Yarrowia lipolytica: one gene and its partners. The protein of the gene in region 3 purifies or fractionates together with the protein of the main gene of each other region. This does not show direct contact. Links are inferred from orthologs where the notes say so. Each region holds a gene or a part of one and is shown on either strand. Other genes may lie near its edges. The genes, in order: YALI1_D31186g, YALI1_D35394g, YALI1_F30647g and YALI1_C01789g.

The links.
Region 1: the proteins of YALI1_F30647g (region 3) and YALI1_D31186g purify together in Saccharomyces cerevisiae (affinity purification with mass spectrometry, with the first as the bait; 3 studies listed by BioGRID). This does not show direct contact. The link is inferred for Yarrowia lipolytica from reciprocal best matches to the Saccharomyces cerevisiae genes YTA7 and TOP2.
Region 2: the proteins of YALI1_F30647g (region 3) and YALI1_D35394g purify together in Saccharomyces cerevisiae (affinity purification with mass spectrometry, with the first as the bait; 3 studies listed by BioGRID). This does not show direct contact. The link is inferred for Yarrowia lipolytica from reciprocal best matches to the Saccharomyces cerevisiae genes YTA7 and RSC58.
Region 4: the proteins of YALI1_F30647g (region 3) and YALI1_C01789g purify together in Saccharomyces cerevisiae (affinity purification with mass spectrometry; 3 studies listed by BioGRID). This does not show direct contact. The link is inferred for Yarrowia lipolytica from reciprocal best matches to the Saccharomyces cerevisiae genes YTA7 and STH1.

Annotation. Positions count from the first base shown.
Region 1 is NC_090773.1:3,116,931-3,123,745, reverse strand, and holds YALI1_D31186g (uncharacterized protein), read right to left. Parts: upstream 5,133-6,815; coding exon 519-5,132; downstream 1-518. UniProt on the Saccharomyces cerevisiae protein: Control of topological states of DNA by transient breakage and subsequent rejoining of DNA strands. Topoisomerase II makes double-strand breaks. Essential during mitosis and meiosis for proper segregation of daughter chromosomes.
Region 2 is NC_090773.1:3,537,455-3,541,182, forward strand, and holds YALI1_D35394g (uncharacterized protein), read right to left. Parts: upstream 1,924-3,728; coding exon 526-1,923; downstream 1-525. Other genes in the region: YALI1_D35356g (uncharacterized protein), read left to right, coding at 1-44; YALI1_D35398g (uncharacterized protein), read left to right, coding at 2,299-3,728. UniProt on the Saccharomyces cerevisiae protein: Component of the chromatin structure-remodeling complex (RSC), which is involved in transcription regulation and nucleosome positioning. RSC is responsible for the transfer of a histone octamer from a nucleosome core particle to naked DNA.
Region 3 is NC_090775.1:3,063,039-3,069,307, reverse strand, and holds YALI1_F30647g (uncharacterized protein), read right to left. Parts: upstream 4,552-6,269; coding exon 4,179-4,551; intron 4,089-4,178; coding exon 532-4,088; downstream 1-531. Other genes in the region: YALI1_F30703g (uncharacterized protein), read left to right, coding at 1-361; YALI1_F30641g (uncharacterized protein), read left to right, coding at 5,186-6,269. UniProt on the Saccharomyces cerevisiae protein: Functions as an ATP-dependent nucleosome disassembly factor that helps evict canonical histone H3 from the 5'-end of genes upon their induction.
Region 4 is NC_090772.1:174,845-181,223, forward strand, and holds YALI1_C01789g (uncharacterized protein), read right to left. Parts: upstream 4,507-6,379; coding exon 4,381-4,506; intron 4,083-4,380; coding exon 501-4,082; downstream 1-500. Other genes in the region: YALI1_C01800g (uncharacterized protein), read left to right, coding at 5,193-5,873; YALI1_C01810g (uncharacterized protein), read left to right, coding at 6,180-6,296. UniProt on the Saccharomyces cerevisiae protein: Catalytic component of the chromatin structure-remodeling complex (RSC), which is involved in transcription regulation and nucleosome positioning. RSC is responsible for the transfer of a histone octamer from a nucleosome core particle to naked DNA.

The DNA of each region.
Region 1 (6,815 bases), on a different chromosome or scaffold from region 3:
TTTTAGCGAGACGTTTATGGAGTGTGGCACGAAAGAGTGGGCATTTGGGTGGCTGTGGGAGACTAGCTGGATTTTTCGAAGGACAAAAATTGCTTGTGAGCCACAGATAAGCAGATTATAGCTGAAATTCTGGGGATCGGATCTATACTGGGAGAGTTAGAGCCAGATGTAATAAGTCAACTAATGAGGGACGTATTTACTTAGAATTTGGGGAAATACTAAATAGAAACATTTGAGAGTGGTAATAAGAAAATATAGATTGGTTTATATGGGAGAATTAAAAAGTAGAATTTCATACTTTTTTTTCTAATTGAGAATCGAAGGAGTTGACAACGATATGTACAGACTTGATGTCTTCCTGACTAAAAAAACTATTTAATTAATTTAATAGATACGAGAATTAAAATACAATATCCAATAGCTACAATACCAGTCTCTGACACTACATTACCACCATCCACCATAATCACAAACAATAAATTACTTTCTCAAAAAGTGACCATCATGGTCGCCCGACCTTACTCATCATCATCATTGAACATGGACACATCTTCTTCATCATCGACAATATCCAGGTCCGAATCATCCGAATCGACGTACACAGACTTCTTGGGGGCGGCGGCACGTCGAGGTCGAGCCGACGACGCTCTAGACGACGCTCTAGACGACGCGGAAGACGCCACCTCGGCCACCTCATCGTCTGACAAATTCATGTCTTCATCCGAGTCGTCAAAAATGGACTTCTTCTTGGGGGCAGTCTTCTTGGGAGCGGCCTTAGGAGCAGCTCTGGGAGCAGCCTTCTTGGGGGCGGCCTTCTTGACCGGTTTGGCCACATCCTGCACCTCCTCAATGGACCCTCCCATGTCCAAATCGTCATCATCGTCAGACAGCGATCCAAACAGCGACACCCGCTTCTTCTTGGGTATCTCAAACTCAGAATCGAGCTTGCCGGATCCAAATTGAAGCCTGCCACCGGCAGCTCCCAGACGGTTGATCTTGGTGGGAGAAGACTTGACGGGAGAGTCGCCAAAGATGGAAGTGGAACCAAGTGAGCCAAACGTATTCTTGAACTTGGGAGAGGTGGCGGTGTCGGACAAACGGGGCTTGGTCTTGGAAATTCCTGGCTCCTTCTTGACCTTGACATCATCCAAATCCACCACCTCGGGCTCAACCGACGCTGAAGACGACTTGGCACGTGACTTGGCCGCTGCCGTCTTGGGCTTAGCAGCAGTCTTGGCCTTCTTGCCAACAATAAAATCCTCATCGTCGTCATCTCCAGCCTTCTTCTTGGCTGCCCGCTTCCGCTTCGTGGCGCCCTTCTTACCAGTATAGTTGTCCAGCTTCTGCTGCTTCTCCACGTCCTGCTCCTCAAACTTCTCATAAGCCTCCATGAACACGTCCAGGTCGTCCATCCAGATGTCCTTGGCGGACTTTTTCAGCAGCTCAATCAGCTCCTCCTCCTTTCCGTCCCGCTCCCGCAGCAGCTTCTCGTACCGCTCCTTGGTCAGAGACCACAGCGCCATGCCCAGAAGATAGTCGTATCCGTTGGTGGGGATCTTGCCGTGAATTTCCTCGGCCTCGGCCAGATCTTCAGCAACCTCATCCGAGGGCGCCTCCTCGTCCTCGGCAATGGCGGCTTTGGCGTCAGATGCGAGCCGCTCGCCGTTCTTGCCGTACCGCGGGAACTTGAGCTCAGAGAGCTCTGCAATCAGCACCTTTCGGCCCTTGTTGTTGATGTTGAGCTTCTTGTCGATGATGAGCTTGATGAACCGCGCCTGGGCCGTCAGCTTCTCGAGCTGCTGCTCAAAGTCAGAAACCAGCCGGTCCTTTCGTTTCTGGTAAAACTCCAGCCGCACCGGAAAGTACTCCTTCATGATCGCCTCAGGGGAGTCGTACTTTTTGATCCGGCCCTCAGGGTCGAACGCCACCATGTTAGAGGTTGATAGCGACGAAATCAGCTTAAACCGCTCTCTCAGGCCAATCTGACGTGTCTTCTCCATCTCCTTCTCCGACAATGTAATGTTGAACTTGACTCGGAAACCGTGGTCCTCAGTAAAATCCTCAATCCAGCCCTTTTCGTTCTTGGAGTCAATCAGCGAACTCAGCAAAAACTCCTTCATGGAAATGGTCCACATTCGAGCAGGCAACTCTGTGATACAGAGCGTGCGCTCGTCAACCTGCTCAATCAAACCCTTGACCTTGTACCGGCCGTCTCCCACAGGCTCCACCTCGCCATGCCATCCTCGGAACCAGGGGATCATGGGTACGGGAGGTTCATCCTTCAACATGCGTCTCAAATTGTCGACAATGTCAAGTGGGTTGTAAGGAGGAATACTGGTGGACCATCCAGAACCAATTCCTTCACAGCCGTTCACAAGCAACATTGGCAGAACAGGAAGATAATACTCTGGCTCGACCGGAGTATCGTCGTCAGTGACGTAGTTGTACAGCGGCTCATCCTGCTTGTTGAAAATCGCCTTGGTGATGTCCATCAACTCCGTCTGGGCGTATCGCATCGCGGCGGCATCCTTACCTCCCTGAGATCGCGATCCAAATCCTCCATCGGGCTTCATCAGGTAGATATTGTTGCTACCGGCAAAATCCTGGGCCATGGCCATGATAGTGCTTCCCAAAGAAGCCTCACCATGATGGTACCCGGTGTGTTCGGAAATATATCCCACGAGCTGCGCCACTCGGATGGACACGGTGAACTTTCGCTTGAACGAACCAAACAGAACTTTACGTTGTCCAGGCTTGAATCCATCACAAACAGAAGCAATGGAACGCATGTTATCGGCCATAGAGAAGAGAATCAGCTCCTTGTTGATGAAATCCGACACGGGAATGTGCGTCAACTTTGGATCAAGGTGAGTACCCGGCTTGTACTTGCGCAACCACTCCTTTCGGTCATCGGCCTTCTTCTTGGAAAACGCCAGCTCGATGAACGGCCGATCCTCCGCAGTCACCGCGTGGAACTGCTTCATGTGACGATCCAGGTCCTTGAAATACTCTGTGGCGTCTGCAGTGGGCGTGGTACCCAGACCCTTGAAGTACTTGCTCGTCCACGTGCACTGCTGGCCTTCAAAGTCCCTCCACGCCTCGTACTCGGGCATGTTGTAGAAGGGGATTGTCTTGACCACCTTCTTGCCCCGCATCACCATCACCTTAACAATCGGAGTGATGAACTCGAGCAGGAACCCGGGGATCTGAAGCAGACCAGGGAACATAGTTTCCAAGAAGTTGATGATCAGACCCTTGATGTGGGAACCATCATGATCCTGATCGGTCATGATCATCAGATGCCCGTATCGCAGGTCCTTGCAGCTCGTGTAGTGCTTCTTGTGCTGCAGACCGATGATCTCCTTGATAGCCTGGATCTCGGCGTTCTTCATGATCTGGTCCGTGGACGCCTCTCGCACGTTGAGCATCTTACCACGCAGAGGAAAGGCGCCATATCGTTCTCGACCAATCACAGACAGTCCAGCGTTCGCCATGGTCATGGCGGAGTCTCCCTCAGTGAGAATGAGCGTGCACTCATGGCCACGCTTAGTTCCAGCGAGCTGGGCGTCTTCCAGCTTCACCAACGTGGTGATTCGCTTCTTCTTGGAGGATCCGTCAGTCTTCTTGAGAGCTGCATCTGCGTTCCGGCCGGCAATGCTCAGCACCCGCTCCATAATGTCGGTGTTGTTGGTCACCTGCTTGATAAACTTGTCGGACAGCTCGCACTTAGAGCCAAAGGCAGACACCTTTGTGGTCATCTGCTCCTTGGTCTGTGAAGTGAAGGCCGGGTTCTCAATCAGACAGTTGATGAAAATGAACATGTTGGCCTTGAGCTGGGCGGGCTTAACCTGCGCGTCCTTGAGCTTCTTTTTGGCGGTGGCGGTAAGCTTGGCTACCAGCTGGTCGGCAATGTAGTTGACGTGTGTGCCTCCAGAGGTGGTGGCGATCGAGTTGACGAAGGACACGTTCTGGTACGTGCCGTCGGAGACCGCGAACGCGACTTCCCACCGATCATTGACAATTTCATGCACGATTTTCGACTTTTGCACAACCTCATTGTCCTCGTCGGCCACCAGACTCTTCAAATATAAGTCGACGTACGCCTTGAAATCCTTCAAAGCCAGTCTAGTGCCATTGAGCTTCACCTTGACACCGTGGGTGGTACCGGCAATGTCGTAGACACGTCGCATCAACACGCCCACCGTGTCAGCGTCCAACTCGGTCATATTGAACAGCTTGAGATCTGGCTTGAAGGTGACCTTGGTGTACTCCTTCTTGGTTTTAAGCTCCTTGATCTTCGGCTTGTCCACTTTGGACATGTTGTTGGACCAAGTCTGGGTGTAAATCTTGCCGTTCTTCTGGTCGGCCGTCTCCAGCTTGAACTCGGTCGAGAAGATGTTACACAACTTGGCACCAAAACCGTTTCGGCCACCAACCACCTTTTTCTCATTGTCGTTGTAGTTTGAGGAAGTCAAAAGGTTGCCGAAAATCAGTTCGGGAATGTAAATCTTCTCCTTGTCGTGGATCTCAACGGGAATACCCTTACCGTTGTTCATGACCGAGATTTCGTTCTTGTCGGCATCGATTGTGACTTCAAGACTGTCCATTTTCGGGTCTCGGATCTTGTTGTCGGCGGCGTTGACCAGAATCTCGTCAAAGATCTTGTACAGACCGGGCACGATGGTGACCATCTTGTGTTCGAGGGCGGACGTTGTCTGGTTCCACACCCACATGGGGGAGGCCGTAGCTTCCACCGAGCCAATGTACGTGTCTGGACGCTTGAGAATATGTTCCAGCTGGGTGAGCTTCTGGTACTGCTCGGAGGCGGAGCCCTTTTTGCCCTTGGGGGTGCCTTTGGGAGAGGGCACTGGCGCATTGTCGTTGGCAACCTCCTGGAGGGGTTTGGCCTTGGACTTGGGAGCAGCCTTGGGCTTGGCGGCAGCCTTGGCGGGTTTCTTCTTGGGTTCATCGTCACTCAGGGCGAAATCCGACTCGGAGTGATCGTCGGAGATGACTAAAGAATCGTCGTCGTCGGAGAACATGGTGGGTTTCGGCTTAGACTTGCCGCGAGGACGAGGAGGGGTGTTTTCGTCGGAGGCGAAGGAAGAGAAGAGGGTGGATTGTTTGGCCATCTGGGTTAGGAGCTGAACGGAGCGAAGATGTAGGTTGAATGATGCGAGCGGCGATAGTGACCACAAAGGTGGCGAGGAAGATCTGGGTCCGAATGTGTTACAGTCAGAGCGAGCAGAAAAGCTCTAGATCGGGGCAGCGCGTGCAATATCACTGGTGTGCGCCATTGGCGGTGTCTCACCAGGAGAGCTGCCACCGCAGATGTGAGCTGAGCTCTCAGGAGAGACACAGAACCACACTTGACAAACCAGAAAACAACCGCACTGCCAGGAACCAGCACCACACTTCATGGATCTGCTACGGTGGCAAATGTCACCTCATGGTCGAGATCTAAAGCACCAAAGCATTGATCTGAACGAGCAGCAAGTTGGACGTGTGTGCGGTCGTGTCATATGGCGCCCCAAATAGCCACAGCTCGCTGCAAATTGTGTCGAAGACTCTCCACATAGTGACTATACCAGCCTTGTTGTGGTCACCACATGGTCCATCTAGTCACCACATGAAGAGTCGCGTGAGAACGATGCTCTCCAAAACCGCCTCCCCGCATCGATTGACGTTAGTAGGCCTCGCCTACCACTGCGCATTCCATAGCGTCTGGCGCCTTGCTTCAAATACTCACCTCTCGTGGAATTCTCTGTTCAGTCGTCCGAAAAAAGTTGTGTGTAGAGAAACAGAAAAGTATTTGGTAGTCGTGAAAGACAAGTGTGGGAGACGCGTATTTTAGAGTTTGTGAAATAACATTGGGCGGTTGCCATGGTAACGGTCAACGTGAAGAATTGATAATGGTAAATTTATAAGAAATGAAAATAAAAAAAAAATAAATAGAAATAAATAGAATAAATAGAAATAAATAGAAATAAATAGAAATAAATAGAAATAAATAGAAATAAATAGAAATAAATAGAAGTAAATAGAAATAAATAGTCATAAAACTGCAAGTGATTGAAACAGATATTGTGGTGCTTCTGGTGTGATTGGAAAAGAATTTTTCCCTATTTTTCAGCTTCCCTTTATCCAACAGCCACATAATGTACTGTCTGTATATCACTTAGTTGACTTTACTTACTTGGGAATTGTTGAGAAAAAAGTTTCTGGGGGAATCTATCTGGGATTCCAGGAATATTAGAGATATAAAATAGGGACCAAACGATAGCGTATACTCGGTTTAATAACAATATTTCAATAGAATCATCTTGTGTAATATTGATATTTCAAACAGGCGACATTTCCATTTCTCAATACAAGTATAATCTGTGGATAATTAGTTGAGAGATACTTGATACAAAAAAAACAACAAAAAACAAACAAAAAAACAACAAAAAACCACAAAAAAACCACAAAAAAACCCATCCGACATCTTCATGGGGCCAATTGCTCTGGAATTTTCAGGAAATACCCAAATAATACTGCAGAAACTCTTTTGTCAAAGACGGATTACGTACAATCGATCACTCAAATGATCTCAAGTCTTTGCTAGAATCAGGTATAATTTTTTTTACTGTTATATTACTGACATACATCTAACGCGTCGACCACAACTGTAGAATCGTGAATATACAAAAAGATATCGCTTAGGCAGAAATGGCATCATGTAGAAGAAGTCATGACGACCATTCTGATACCACTCTCGACTCGTCTAGCCTTACGTAAGCGAAGTTGAGATGATGGTGGACAACTATAACCGG
Region 2 (3,728 bases), on a different chromosome or scaffold from region 3:
TTTTGATCATCTCTATTGCCATGGGTGCTGACGTTCCTCTATAACGGAGTTGATCACTTTTATTATAATATATGAATGAGTAACAACGAGATATAGCTACGAGTAGTACCGTAGCGTGATTCGTATACAGAGATGACAGTGGAGCTCATGGCTGTACAAAAGCGTTGTGCGCTTCCTTAAACCAGTTATTTCGACATTAAATGCTCCTTACACACATCCACTTCTTAACATACGTATTAGTCTAGTTACAGCATTGTAATAGAGCCAACTTGAGAAGCGTGTAGAATCAACTACTTAATTTACATACAACTACAAGTACGTACAAGTACAAGTACATACAGTACAGTATGTACTTGTGATGCTACCCGTCGATCTTGACCTATTCTAGCTGACAGCATTTAGATTGTTTCACACCCCGGAAAATTACTAAACATACATTATCCTAACTAATACAGGTCCTGGCAGCCCGTGCCAGGAGTCACGCCATGGCGTCTCCCCCAAATATCACCGTTCTATCTCACCCATCTACCGCTTAGCCCGTCGGGTCTTGGGACCAGAAGGTAGACGTCCGACGGAAGAAATGGGCTTTGGAGGTTCAGGGGCCGGCAAAACACCCAGATAGTTTGTTTTGAGAGCAGGGATGTTAGTGGAAGGCTTGATCTTGGAGTTAGCAATGTCGATGCCCTCGGTGGATTGCAGCAGCCGTCCCAACACACCCTCGATTTTCATTGCAAGCCGTCGCTCCTCAAACGACACTGGTGGAGGTATGTCAGGTGTGGCCAAACGGTCTGCCTGGAGTTGTTGCAGTTGGAGCATGAGTCTGCTGACAAACTCGAGCTCGGTGCCAGTTTTGATGGCTTCGAACTCGTCGTCGTCAATGAAGTTTCGAGGGTGCCATTGGAGAATGTCTTCCATGGGCAGATCCTTGGAGGGGTCGACATCTTCATCTCTAAACAGAGGCTGGAGGTCTTCCTCTTCCTCTCCCTGTCCCCCCTTCTCCTCTTCCTCTTCCTGTCCCTCCACCTTAGCCTCAGTCGCGTCATTCATCTCCACGTCGTTAGTATCCTCCTTTTTGGTGTCGTTCTTTCCAAGAGCGTCGTCGATGGCGCTTTCTCGCAGTCGCCCAACCTTCTCGTACCACAGAGCTCCGGTTGAAGCGGGGTCGTAGACGGCCTTACCACTGTCGCTAGTGGGGGCAAAGGACGAGTTTGCGTCCATCCGCAGGAACCGGCTGGGCGCCAACTCGGAGCCGTTGGGGTGCACAAAGTGCGTCATCATCTCTGTCGGAGGCAGGGCTGGGTGTGGAAGTCGCGACACGGCAGGTGTGAGGTAGCCCAGTTGGTAGGCCGGAACCGACCGGGTACGTGGCAGTACGTTGGTTACCTGGAACGCGCCCGGGGTTATACTTGGGCGCGGGTCGATGGCCGATTTGGTGGACAACGTCGAAAACAGAGGTCCATTCTGGCCCATGACCAGAAACGATTCTGCGCTCCACGACTCCAAGTCCGCAGTCAAGTCGGCGTAGTCGGCCACGATTTCCTCCTCGAACTCCGTCACGTCCTCGGGTACCACATCCTCGGGGTCCTTGCCTCCAAACAGGTCCATCCGCGAGCCTTCTCGGATGATGAGGGCTGCGGCAAACTTGAAGAACCGGTCCACCTCCAGATACTTCTCCGAGCCAATTGGCAGCGCCACCAGAGCCTGGACGGCTGCGGTCTTGACGTCCACGTACAAGTTGCGCACCGAATCATACGCCTTCTCGGATACCGAGGTCAGATCAGCAACGTTGTGTTGGGCATAGCTTGCAAGCACCGACAGGTTTGTGGACTGAGGCGACACCTGGGGCACTGCCTTTGTGGAGAGCACAGTCTTTCCGACGGCGTCGGCTAGCAACACGTCCAAAATGTCTTGTATGAGCGACATGTTGTCTTTGTGTTGGTGTCTGGGTTCGATGAGATGTGTGGTGATTTTTGTTCGACGTGATGAACGTTCCGACGTGTGGGTGTTGACTAGAGTATGACAGAAACCATACTCCAAAAATTAGCTTCGTCATGTGACCCAGCCAAGAGACAGCGGTGTATGAGATGGCGGAGAAGAAGTGGAGTGGCTATATTAATTTCTGTAAATTTGTTTCGACGGCGAATAATCCACTTAGAATTGCTTTCAAATCTTTAAACCTATTCTAATGCCGCCTTGTATCGACGTCCTGCTTCTTCCGTTGTATGGCAAGCATGCATACAACACTCATCTCTTCATACTCTTATCTAGTACGGGTACGAGTACACATCTCAGCACACCATGGACGACTCGGACGACGACTACATTGAAAACATTAGTGGAGACGAGTACCAGGGTGCCCCTCGGCGGTCGCGACGAAACCAGGCCCCCAAGGGCGCCGGAGGCTCGGTGGAGAACATGAAGATGGCCAATGGAGGATACTCATGGGAAGACGAATACCATAGATCTTGGGACGTCGTGCAAGAGGACGAGGGAGGATCGCTGGCAGGCTCGGTGGCGGGTCTTGTGGAAGCAAGAAAGAAACGACACATCAAGGATGCAACTCCGTTCCAGAGAGGTATCATTCGAAACCTGATTTTGGTGCTCGACTTTTCGTTTGCCATGAAAGAGTCCGATCTCAGACCAAACAGGTACCAATTTGTCATTAACCATGCCATTGAATTCGTAACCAACTTCTTCGACCAGAATCCCATTTCTCAGCTCGGAATTCTGGGCATGAGAAACGGACAGGCAATCAGCATATCGACATTGGGCAGTAACCCCAACGACCACATTAACGCCCTGACGGCAGCCAAAAAGCTCGAGCCTCAAGGTGATCCATCTCTTCAAAATGCTCTTGAAATGGCTCGAGGTCTGCTTTTCCATGTGCCTTCTCATTGCACTAAGGAGGTACTGGTTGTTCTGGGTGCCTTGTTGTCGGCTGACCCAGGAGATATCCACGTAACCATCGACAAGCTCGTTATTGACAAGGTCCGAGCCCGAGTCATTGGTCTGGCGGCGCAGGTGGCGATCTGCAAGGAACTGTGTGTCAAAACCAACTTTGGAGACGCTTCATACTATGGTGTCGTGCTGAACGAACAGCATTTCCAGGAGCTCATGGACGAGGCTACTACACCCTTGGCAGAGTCACAACAAAGCCAGAGCGCCAATCCAGCATCCCTGGTGCTCATGGGATTTCCTTCAAAGGTTTCAGAAGCAGCTCCCTCTCTTTCGGCCTCCGATGCAGCTCTCACACAAGGTGGATACGTCTGTCCGCAATGTAAGGTCAAGGTGTCTTCACTCCCCACAGTCTGCCCCTGCTGTGGTCTCACACTTATTCTGTCCACCCATCTGGCCAGATCGTATCACCATCTTTTCCCCCTGGCTCCATTTATTGAAGTCCCCTGCAAGAACGCACACAAGTCTGAATTCTGTGCAGGCTGTCAATCCAAGTTCCCAGTGGTGGCAAGAGATGCAAAAAACATCCAAGCCGATGGCTCCATGACGTCACGGTATGAGTGTCCCACCTGCCACTCTCATTTTTGCATCGACTGTGACGTCTTCTGCCACGAAATTCTACACAACTGCATTGGCTGCCAGGCACGCAGCTACTCTCTCTACCAGGTGGTGGTCACCAAACACAAGGATGCAGCTCCTTCTCTTAAGCTGGTGATGAAGCGGCCCGATCCAGACGGAGAGGAGAGCTCTAGACCAGTCAAGGTGAGGGTAGT
Region 3 (6,269 bases):
GATTCGACGAATTCTACAGGAGGATTTCGACGAGGTCTTCAACCGACCCAACGTGCTTTCTGGTAACGAGGGTCAAAAGGCCAACGATGAGCCCGGTGTGGATTTCATCATTGCTCCCACTTCTAACTGTGCGCCTTACCCTCTTTCTAAGCTCAACGACTCTGCTCCCGTTGATACCTACCTCAACGATGTACTCACCGTCCCTGCTTCCCTGACCGGTATTCCTTCCCTCAACATTCCCTGGAAGACCAAGCAGGGCAACGTAGGCATGCAGATCATGGGACAGTACGGTGATGATTTGGGCGTTATGAAGGTCGGTCGACTGCTCCTGGACAAGTGCAAGGAGCTCCACCAGGATTAGTGGATGTATATATAGATTGACTACATGGTAATAGACTCAGAACTGACAACACGGGTGGTGGAGGTGCCTCAGTAAAAGCACGCACAGCGGTCATTACGTGATAAGTGACACAGTCATCGATAATTTAACAATTTCATACTGTAGTCATTAATTAATATAGGTCTATTTGTTTATTCGTGGAAAGCATTGACGATCTCGTCCAGCTGGGCAGTGATGGCGTTGATTATGACATTTCGGTCCCAGGATGCTCGGTGTGCCCATATAATGTCAATGATGGCGGCATAGACCTGCTCAAGCTCCTCGATAGTGAGCTCGCCAGTGTTACCAGCAAGGAAGTCAACCACATCCTGAGCCTTCTTGGTGTCTACAATGAGAGGAGGATCAGGAGTGGGAGGGGGAGAAGGAGAAGCTTCCACAGGAGGTGCAACCTGGACTTCAGCCTCCACGTTCTCTTCCTCAACGACAGTTCCATTGGCGTGTCCGTTGATGGCGGGCTCGGTTCCAATAGTTGCCGTCTCGGTCACCTCTGTGACAACAGGGTCGGGAACAGCACGCTCGACCACAGCAGGTTTAGCGACAACGGGTTCAGCCACTTCGACTTCCTCTGTCTTGTTGTCAACCTTCTCATCTTCGGCGTCAATGTCAGCCATCTCCTCGTCCTTGACCTCCTCGATCATACCCTCGCCGTCGACCTGCATCTGATTGACATCGGGATCTCCGTCGTCACCATCCACTTCTCGCTCTTGTACCTCAGCAGCAAGACGGGCCTCTGCCTCGTATTGTTCAGCGGTCGCCTTGGCTTCCTCAGCCTCCACTCTTTCTTGCTCAATCTTCCACTTCTCCTGAGCCTCAATCTCTCGTTGTCGCATCTTCTTGCAGTCAGCGACGAACTGCTGGTCGATGCTCATCTCCTCAATGGCCACCTGGGCATTGGCAAACATCTCCGATGCCTTGTTTCGTCGCTCGCGGTCGCCCGAGGTGATGGAATCAAGGTAGATGTACTCGATATCCTTGAGGAACTGTTTGAGCTCCGAGTAGTAGCCATTCCAAACCCGATCCTCGATCACATCGAGATCGTAGTTGTAGTACTTCTTGCCAGTGGACACCTGCAAAATCATGTCGTCCTCAGAACGTCTGAAATCATGCAAAGCAGCAGCCTGGGGATCAATCTCAGGCTCGAACAGATGAGCAACATGAATATCGTCAATGGGTGGCTTTCGGAACCGCTTGTACCGATTTTTGAACAGCTCCATCAGTCCACTGAGCTTCACCTTGATGACGTTCTTCAGCTGCATGTCCTTCTTCTGCTGCGTCTTGACATCGGAGGCAGTCAACTCCCTGGGCGGAGGCGGGGGTGCAACGGGCAGAATGGGGAGCTTTCGTCTCTTTCGGGTCGCAGGGTCAGGGTAGTCTGTAGGCTTGGCCACAATGTACTGCTCGATACCCTCAAAATATTTTCGTCGCTCTGACAGTGAGGGCTTTCGAATGGAATATAGGCGAGAAGCAGCTACCCCAAAGAAAGACTTCAAGTCCCCGGGAAGCTCTTCATAAGGCATTTCAGAGATACCCAGAACAAGTAGCTCGGTCTGGCTCTGCGCCTGTCTCATCAGAGTGTAGAAGATGGACAGTGCCTGAGAAGAGAGAGTTGTGGGCCAGAACTCAATGTTAGGAATGTACAGCACCGACTGAGCATGACGTCTGCTTTCAGTGATGATCTGAGCCAGTGTAGCCTCGACAGTTCTACTGCTATCGGCATAGAGAGATCCCAGGTCCAGCTGCTGAATGTGAAACCCCTCCAGATGATGCAAAAGAGCACTGCCAATGTACTGCTGGCCCATACCAGTGTCACCAGAGATGAGCAGCTTGGGTCGGCAGGTTCGCGACTTCTCAAACAGCTTCTGTCGCTGAATTCGTGCAAACCCACCGTCCTCGTCGGGGAACTCTTCAAACAGAGCCTCCTCCAAAGCTGTCAGCTTCTTCTTTCGAGGAACAATCGAGTCCAGACGGTCCTTGAGCTCATCGACGGTGTTCTGAAGCAGAGGGGCCACAGTAGGAGGCAGAGGAGTCGCCCCGGAAGAAGAGGATCGCGCAGAAGAGGGCACAATTTTGTCGACAGCCAACAGAATATCAGCAGCTCGCACATTAATTGTGGCAGGGTCTATCGTGAGCTTGGCATGCGAAGAGTAGATCTGAGGGTATGTTCTCTGAATGGCATTGATTGCAGACTCGGTGCACAGAGTCTTGAGATCGGCTCCTCCGTAACCTTTGGTCAGACCAGCGACATGGTCCACAAACTGCGGTTGCAGAGGGGGGGACCATTTGCTGGTATGGATTCCAATGATGGCCTTTCGCGCCTCCTTGTCAGGCAGAGGGAAATAGAACTCTCGATCGAATCGACCGGGTCGTCGGAGAGCAGGATCTACTGAATCAGGACGGTTGGTAGCTCCAATAACAATCACTTGGCCTCGGTTATCCATACCGTCCATTAATGCCAGAATGGTAGACACAATGGAGGCATGAATCTGCTCCTGCTTGGACGATCGCACAGGGGCAAGACCGTCAATCTCATCGAAGAAGATGATACTGGGCTGCTGATTTTTGGCCTCCTCGAACAGGAGACGCAGTTGCCGTTCAGCCTCGCCAACCCACTTAGACAGACAGTCGGCTCCCTTTCGCATAAAGAAGGTGATATTTCTTCCTTCAGTGGAGCAGGACGCAGCGAGAGCTCTTGCCAGAAGGGTCTTACCGGTTCCTGGTGGACCATGGAACAGTACACCTCGCGGGGGAGTGGTATTGAACCGCTTGAAGATTTCAGGATACATCATGGGCAGCATCACCATTTCCTTTAGCTGGTTGATGTGGTTGTCGAGACCTCCGACGTGGGTGAAGTCAATGTTCATGTCCACTCCCAGAGGATCCGTGTCTGCCACTGCGTTCTTCTTCTTGGCAATGCCAGGAGCTCCCTGGATACCCTTGATCTTTTCGTCATCACTGGAGTCGTCATCGTCGGCTCCACCAACAGCTGTGAGTCCAGGCACGTTGTTTCCAAACAAAGGCATCACGTCGCCTCCGCCGAAGGGTCCCACTGTAGGGATGAGACGTCGAAGAGCATTGTTATTGCCTCGACGTCGTGTGGGAGCAGAAGCACCTGCCTCATCTGCATTGAATGGTTCGTCCACGGTGGGTGGGGGCAGTATTTGGTAGTTGACCGCCTTTCGAGCTCTCAGGGTCTTCTTTCTGATTGGAGGGGGATCGTTTCGTCTCAGTTCTGCCAGCTCAACAGCCAATGACAGACGCTTGTCGTCGTCATCATCGTCGTCAGCAGTAGCAATAGCGATTCGTTCCCGTCGTCCCAGACCTCTGTGTCGGTTCGATCGTCGCACGGGTTGCACCTCTTCATCGTCCTCCACAAAGTTATTGATAGGATCCTCGTCTCTCTCGGAAGCACCAGAATCGTTGGAGCCTTCGTTGTCCGACGAGTTATCACTGGCGCTGTATTCTTCATCGTCGTCGGGGACCTGTGAACGAGCGCGTCTGGGTCGCTTTCCTCCCGTAGCATGGTGTGATCTGCCCTTGCGTCTGCTTCCCTTCTTCTTCCGAGCCCGAGAACCAAAGTTGACATCGTCCGAGTCCGAAGCCGGCGAAGGCGATCCGCCGTCCGAGTCGTCGTTTTTTACTTCAATCTCAAAGTCGGAGTCATCCTCCACTTTTCTGCGTTTTCCAATAGCTGTGTTAGTACCTAATGAGATGTGAGACATGAGACATCGAGTGTGTCGCGAATCTCTGCTGTAGTAATTTGGTCACGTAGTTCACTCACCTCCATTCTCCATCATCTGGGCTAATCGACACCCGATGGCAAGTGTGACTGGAACGGACTTACCATTCTCGCTGCTTGCAGCTCGACCGCGCTTCCGACGAGAGCCCTCTTCTTCGGAATCGGCCTGCGAATCGGCCACTCCCTCGTCTTCGTCAAACGCCAGCTGCGCTTGTAGGCTGGCATTTGCGTTGTCGTCGTCGTCGTCGTCGTTGCTGTCTCTTGTGGGTCGGATATGGTCGTCTTCTTCACTGCTGCTGGGCTCAACGTAGTTTTTGTTGGCGGCAGCCTTCCGGGTGGGTGGGGTCAGGTCAAAGTCATCTTCGCTGGACGACTCCTCGCCTCTTCGGCGCCACACAGTCCGAGGCGTTGACATTGTGTATGGATGGGTGGTGCTGGTGTGTATAAGTAGAGTTTATCTTTGCTGTCTTGTTGTGGCATGTGTGCCCTCTTACGTCACACGAGAGAGAAGTGTGAAATGCACACTATTGTACGAAGATCACCACGCGGAAAGCCGTGGGTGAGAAGAAGGGAGCCATATTGGGGCTCTGGTGGAAGCAAAGAAAAGTCGGAAGTTCAAATCCGTGTTGTTTTCGCCACTCTGGAAACGACTCAGGCATTCTTTTTATGTGCCCTGGCCATTCTCCGTCTGGTTGTACACTCCCCCAGCTTCCTCGTCGCGTCTATAACGCCCTATTTATCGCGACCATTTTGCGTATATCGATTTTCGCAAGTGTCTTTTTTTTTTGGACGTGCCGATGAGCCTGTTTCGTTTTCTGGCTTTCTTTGCCCTCGTCTGTATGCCAATGTTTTTGATAGCTATTAAAAGTCCCAACTCTGTGTTATGCTGACATACACACACCCCATAATACGCATGTCCGTTCGACTCCTGTGCCGTGCAGGTTTATGCTAACCTAATTTCGTCTACATATCCCCGAACCTACTGGAATATCCCTAGAATAAAAAAAAATCAACAGATCAGCAGGCCGATTCTTCTCTCTACAACAAACATGATTGACCACTTTGTCGCGTTTACAAAGGGAGGAATTGTCAAGTGGCAGTACTCCCCTCCCTCAGCATCCAACGTCACACATATTGTCAATGATCTGATATCCGACGTGTTCATCGAAGAGTCCTATCCCGTCCAGGACTCCACCTACACCAAGGACATTTACACGGCCCGATGGGCAGTCGCCAACGAGCAGGGGCTCGTATTTGTGTGCATTTACAAGACTCTTCTTCATCTGCCTTGGGTGGGTCAGCTGGTTACCCAAGCCCGACAACTGTTCCCCCAGTTGGACGATAACGAGTACGAAGCATGGTTCGCTACAAAACTGGCTTCCCTGGAGGCAGAGACGGTCAAGCCGGAGCCCGTGGCAAAGGCAAAGGTCCCTGTGATCGAGAAGATTGAGTCGTCTGTTACTGTTGTCGATACAGACTCTGCAGCCAGCGGAGCATCTACACCTATTGGAGGAGGAAAGACCCGTCGGCGAGGAAAGAAGGGCAAGAAGGACGACTCTACAGCGGAAAAGAAAAAGAAGGGTGTCATGCGAAAATGGGGAGAGGATGGCCAAGCCCTGGATGTCGGTTCTGACGACGACGCGGATCTTGACTTCTCCTCTGGACCCTCAGGAGCTACGGCTGTTGTGGAAGATGTGGATATGACCAACTATGGAGGAGCCAACAAGCAGGGCGATTTTGTGCTCAAACAACTGGGTGACGACGAGCCTCCGATCCCCTCCAAGTCGAGATTCGGTTTCCTGAAGAACATCATGGGCGGTAAGACTATCACACAGGAAGATATGGACAAGGTGACTGCCAAGGTCGAGGAGCAGCTCATGAAGAAGAACGTGGCCAAGGAGGTTGCAGTCCACCTATGTGACCAGGTGTCACGGTCACTAGTCGGCTGCACTACCAATTCGTGGACCACCGTCGAGCAGACCGTGCAGCAGGCCATGGCGGACGCTCTTCGAAAGATTCTGACCCCTTCGGCCTCTCTAGACCTGCTCCACGAGGTCCAGCGGCACAAAAAGCTCGGTGGAGGACGTCCCTATGTTATTTCTGTGGTTGGAGTTAACGGTGTGGGCAAGTCCA
Region 4 (6,379 bases), on a different chromosome or scaffold from region 3:
GCTCATTCACCAGAAAGAGATTCTAGATCGGCAGATACACTGCTTACAGGATGGACATCATTGTCTACGACCAAGCTGGTTCCTCTCATGTCTATGTGAGAAATTGACCAGGTTGGTCCGGGGTATCACCTTTAACAAGACTCTCTCAACAATATTCTGACCTGAGTGCGAGAGAAATAGAAAAGATTGAAAAGAATATTCCATAGATTATGTCACATGACAAAACAAGTACTGTAGTAAAACTTGCAAAAAAGGGTGTGTTCTAATCTCTAATTGTCTAGACTAGCTGTGAGGCGCTTTTTCTGAGCGCCCTTGGCAAGAACATACAATGAGACGAATTTCGATAGATACACTGCGAGTGCTTGGTTTCGTTGAGTAGAAGGTAAAGGCGATATTACTACAAGTAGACGTACGGATAGACAGCTTCGCTCCAGCTGTGTAATAAACAAACACATCATATTATACAGCTTAGTGGGACCTTTTTGCCCATTATATATCTTCTAACCCCGGGCAATGTCCAAAAGACGGTCGGCATCCGTAACAACCGGAGAGTTCTCCTCGTTGTAGGTTCGAGCATTCTGGTTCATGAGCTCGAAATCAGCCACAAAATCGTACCGGTTCTGGTACACATTCTGCTTCACCTTCTTCTGGATCACGTCAAGCGCAATCGGATTCTTGATGAGCTTGAAGTAGTCGGGATACAGCTTTTTGGAGGGAATGGACCGGAACAGGTCACACACATGCCGCAGGCCCGCAGACTCATCTTCAGGATCCCAGGGCTCCGTCAGCGCAAAACACTCGTTGAGAGCCAGCTGGCATGACTCGTTGAGCTCCTCCCGGTCAGCCACAGACAAGGTTTCCCGGACCTTGGGGATCTTGTTCTTGTTCTTCTTCTTGGGAGGAGGAGACGCCTCTTCGTCGACAAACTGGTCGTCTCCATCGGCATCGTCAACGATGATATCATCGGCGTCCAGACCGTCATCCAGATCAGTGGGGGCTCGGGACCGTCGGCTTCGGCGTCGCTTCTTGATGGCAGCGTCCAGATCCTCGTCATTGTCCACAATGTTGAGCCACTGCTCCTCTGTGAGGCCGTCGTCGTAGTACACTTCCTTTCGCTCTCGAGCTCCTCGGCCGTACTTGTCCGAGTCGGCCATGTCGTCCTCTCGGAAATGCTCAGACACATCCTGAGTGAACTGGTCCGGCAACTCGGACTCGGAAAGCAGCCGATCGGGTCGTCCTGCGCCCTTGCCATAATCGCTTGTGGCGTTCCGCTCGGCGTCCATCTGGGCGTAGAAAGCCCGCTCCTCCTCGTTTCGAGCCAGCAGGTCGTTGAGCTCCTCATCGTCAAGGTCCTCGTCCTCTGCCTCTCGAGAGCCACGCTTAGACTCCTCCTGCTCCAGCAGCCCTCGCAGGAACGCCTCCTGCTCCTCGGCCGTCGACTTGTTATCGAACTTTCCGGCCTGAATGACCTTTCCGTCGATTTCAAGCTTTGCGTGAGCTCGCTGGAGAATAACCTCCTCAACGGAATCCTCTGTGATCAGACGCAGAATTCGCACCTCCTTGGTTTGACCAATTCGATGTGCTCGATCCTGTGCCTGCAGATCCTGATGAGGGTTCCAATCAGTGTCGTAGATGATAACTGTGTCGGCTGTCTGCAGGTTCAGACCTAGACCACCAGCTCGAGTGGACAGCAGAAAACAGAAATAGGGCGAATCGGGAGCGTTGAAGAGCTTCAGCATCTCGGATCGATCGTCGGCCTTGGTGTTACCATCTAGTCGCAGGTACTGCAAGCCACGGAGCCGCAAATAGTCCTCCATAATGTCCATAATCTGGGTCATTTGGAAGAACATGAGCACCCTATGGTCCCTAGCCTTGAACTTGGGCAGAATTCGGTCCAAAAGCTCAAACTTACCTGCAGAACGCCACAGTAGGTCGTTGTTGCCATGTGATGGGTTCAGAAGAGTCTCGACTTCCTCGTATACATAAGGATGGTTACAAATCTTACGCAGTTGCATAATCTTGTTGTTGAGACCCTTGACTCCGCTCTTGTTGACACCAGCCGCGCCAGAATCGTCACCAACGTACAAAGCGTTGTACTTGAGCATCTGCTGGTACATTTTGAGCTGAAGAGCGCTCATCTTGCACTTGATGACGGTCTCCACCTTGTCGGGGAGATCCTTCTCAACGTCCTTCTTAAGACGTCGCAGCAGGAAGGGACGCAGCACCTTATGAAGACGTCGGATGACCAGCAGCGTCTCTTCTTCCGTGAGCTCCATCTTGTCCTGTGATCCGCTGTTAGCAAACGGCGTGTTGAACCACTCGTCGAACGTCTTAACCGAGTTGAAAATCTTGGGTAGCACAAAGTTGAGCAGCGCCCACAGTTCGGGCAGGTTGTTCTGCAGAGGGGTACCTGTAAGAATGAGTCGGTATCGAGAGTAGTAGAACTGCGTGAGCGTCTGGGCAAGCTTGGATTGGGTGTTTTTCATTCGATGACCTTCGTCAATGATCATATGCACCCACCGGATTCGGCCCAGAAGCGCCTTGTCCTTGATGATGTACTCGTAGGTGGTGAGCAGCACCTGGAAGTCTCCTGCTCGTACCTGGTTGGACAACTCCTTACGCTGGTTGGGCGAACCCTTGAACACAATCTTCTTAACGCTGGGAGCCCACTTTTCAAACTCATTGGTCCAGTTAGTGAGTGTCGAGAGAGGGACAATGACCAGGTAAGGCCGGGTCTGTCTCTTGACTTCAATAAGGTAGGTAATGAGGGAAATGGACTGGATAGTTTTTCCAAGGCCCATTTCGTCGGCCAAGATACCATTCAGAGAGTTGTTATACAGAGACACCATCCACTGCAGACCCTTGAGCTGGTACTCCTTGAGCTGACCCCCAACCAAGATAGAAGGCTGCTTGGAGACTGTCTCCTTGACTCGATGAGCAATATGGTAGTAGTCGATCTTCTCGCGGTCCTCTTCTCCCTCTCCTCCTTCTTCCTCCGCAGCAGGAATGGGCATTTGAGTTCCGGCTTCTCCTTGCTGAGCACGAACGGCAGATGACAGAGAGTCCAAGAACGAATTGGTCTGTCGCAGCAAGTGGGTGATACGTGTATCCTTGGTCTGGTCCAGGAGCTTGAGGTAGGCCTCCTCGTCGTTGGACTTGAGAGCTTGCAGACGCTGCTTGGCAGTTCGCTCGACTCGTCGACTCTCTTCTCGCTCAACGTACGAGTGGAACTGCTGGATGCCCTTGGCCACGGCGTACTGCTTGGTTCGTCGACGATGGGCCTCTTCTCTGATTCGGTCCGACTGGTGGCACACCGAGTTGACGTACGCCATGATTTCCTCCCGCTGCTTGCGTTCACGCTCCATGCGCTGCTGTCGCTCTAGCTGCTCCGTCAGTCGCATCTCGTGCGCGGTCTGCACCTTGGCTCGTCGGTTGAGAGCCCGGTTGATGACCGAGTCGGTCACCTGGGACGTCTGGGCCTTGCAGAAGACTAGATGTTGCCGCAGACTTTTTTGCTTGGTTAGCAGCCGCAGGGCCTTGAGCTCGGCCACAGCTCGTACTTTGAGCGCATCAGTGCCTTCGGCTTTGCCGAGATCATCCCGGGAAGCATCCAACACTCCGAGGTTTGATGGCAGAGACTCGAGCTCCAGAATCCGCTGCGAGATTCGGTTCGTGATGATGAACTCGTGTCGTCCACCGACTCCCCGCCCGTTGTCCACAAACCCGCCTCGGGGGGGCACTCCGCTGTCCTTGAGACGTCGCTGGTAAGGGGTGAGTGACTTTTCAAGTGCTGCGTCAGCCTCCTCTTCGGTGATGTCACTTTCGATGCCTACCGTCTCCATTAGGCGCTCCTGCACGTCGGTGGGCATGTCGAGACCTCGGCTCAGGTATCTGAACGCGTTGACCTGGGTTCGGAGCAGGTCGAGGTCGATCTTGTTGTGGGCGGCTTTTCGGGCGCTGTTGACCTCTGCCAGACGCTTGTTGTACAGCTGCTGCTCCTGGCCCATGGTGTGCAGCCGGGTGACGATGCCCTCGAGTTCGGGTGTCACCGGGTGGTCGGATTGATTAAGAGCATTGAATCGCTGTGTTAGAATGAGAATAGATGGCGGTCAAGCAATAGACTTGCACACTGTGCTGTGTTGAGACACGTGTGTCGTCACGTTATGTGCAACGATACGATACGATACCAATGACCCATGACCCATGACATCGATAATGTCGTGTCGACCCGTCCAACGTCGGCTGTCGTGTCCATAACACAATCACACTCTGACAATGTCACGTGGTGTCGTCACGTCCTCGGTGTCACGTGATGGTGTTCCGTCCGTCGTGTTGGGTCTGTCTCCCCTCCTCTTGTCTTCCTCTTCCTCTGATACTCACCAAAAACAACAACTGGGCCTGCTCCACGCTCTCGGGGGTGGGGATGGAATAATAGTGGGGCTGTTTGGCGGAGCCGTTGAGAGCACCGCCATTGGGTGCTGGCGAATGCCCGTTTTCGAGATCCATCTTGCCAGTGCTGTGTGTGCCGTTGATGATTCGGTTTCGTCGAATACCGCACGGTTCTACACGCTTGATAGTTTCGCTCGACAGCAGTGGGTGAAAGTGTGTGAGGGTCGACCAAAGTCTAATCTGCTCCCACCCACGGTTTCGGACCACGTTTTACGCGGCGCGGTATGGATGTTGCCGGTTCGACTCCGCTTTGGGTGAGTATGCTTGGAAAGTTTGGCTGGAATGAAGGTGCACCAGTCAGAAGGAAGATGTCGAAATAGCGGGTTGTGGCTGGCAGACACGGCCGAAATATTTACTCAGACGGTCCGCATGGTGTTAAAATGTCCTGTTGCACTGCTTTGACTTACTTGGGGGGAGGACAGAGTAGGTCCAGTACAGTATGTACGTTAAAACAGTGCTCTTGTAGACTAATTACTGAAGGGCCTTCATCTTTCAGCTGAAGTGGAACATACAGCACCTCGTTAAGGAACGTTCATACTTTCTCGTTTGACACTACACAGGTGCCCGGGGGCCTCAATGGGGTCTAAGCCAACTTCTCAATCAGTCACGTGACGCATCCCCGTCCTATATCGCCCATACCTATGCTGCTCTGTCATGTATCCCACTGTCACATTTGCATGCATAACCAGGATCTTTATCTGCATCTAAATTGAATCTTCTTCACACAGTTCACTCCAACAACAATGCCTCGACCCCGACGAGAAATGACGCCTGACGAGGAGTACTCTCGCAAACTGTCGTACATCTTGCGACACGGCGCCACCAAGGAAAAGCTGCCCATTCGAGAAGACGGATACTTGTCTGTAGGTGTGCTGCTCAATAGAGCTGGAATCAAGGGGAAATGGAACCTGGAAGACACCAAGCGGGTTGTGCGAGATAACGACAAACAGAGATACAAGCTCATCTTTGAGCCCACAGAAAAACAGCCCAAAGAACCCACAGACCCCAACGATTGCACGGGATACTGGATCAGAGCTAACCAGGGACACACTATCAACACCAAGGTCGAGATGAAGGCTCTCAAGACCCCCGAGGACTTCCCCACTCTTGAGATCTTCCACGCCACCTCGAAACAGGTGCTTCCCATTGTACTTAAGGAAGGATTGTCCAAGATGAAACGTCAACATATCCATTTGGCTACCGATCTAGTCACCGAAGGAGGCTCTGTGGCTGGAAAGCGACTTAACAGAGAGGTGTTCATTTACATCAATGTTCCCAAGGCTCTGGAGGCCGGAATCGAATTCTTCCTGTCTGAAAATGGTGTTGTCTTGACTGAGGGTAAGGATGGAAAGATCTCTCGAGAGTTCTTCAGTAAGATTCTGGACAAGAATAACCAGCCGGTTGACTTGGAGGCGTTGGCATAGGTGCATATAGCAGCATTAAAAACATACTGTATTCGATAATATACGTTACAGTCCATGCTTGTACTTGCAATTGGTACCTTACCTCACGTTACATTGTGTTGCATCTCTTAGTAACCAATATATATGCTGCTGAGGTATTATCACGGGACCGTAGACTATGTCCCCTGTTAATTCACCTTTTAAGATATCTTCAACGTCTTTAAAACTTCTCCTCCTATCTACAGCCTACAGTATACATACTCCAGGACTGTGTCCAACTGTGGCATCCGTGCGGCTCGGAAATGCACAGAAAATATATCCTTCGACATGCATGATACAATTTCATCCATCACCAACCACACAACCGCCATGAACAGCAACATGAAAAAGGCGCCTCCTACGGCGAGCAAAACGCATCTCAGTAGTAAACTGAACAACATGAAGGTGAGTATCACGTGAGGAGAGTGTCGGACTGATCTGGAGATGATCTTGGATGACAACTGGGATGCTCAGAGCAAACAGAGCAG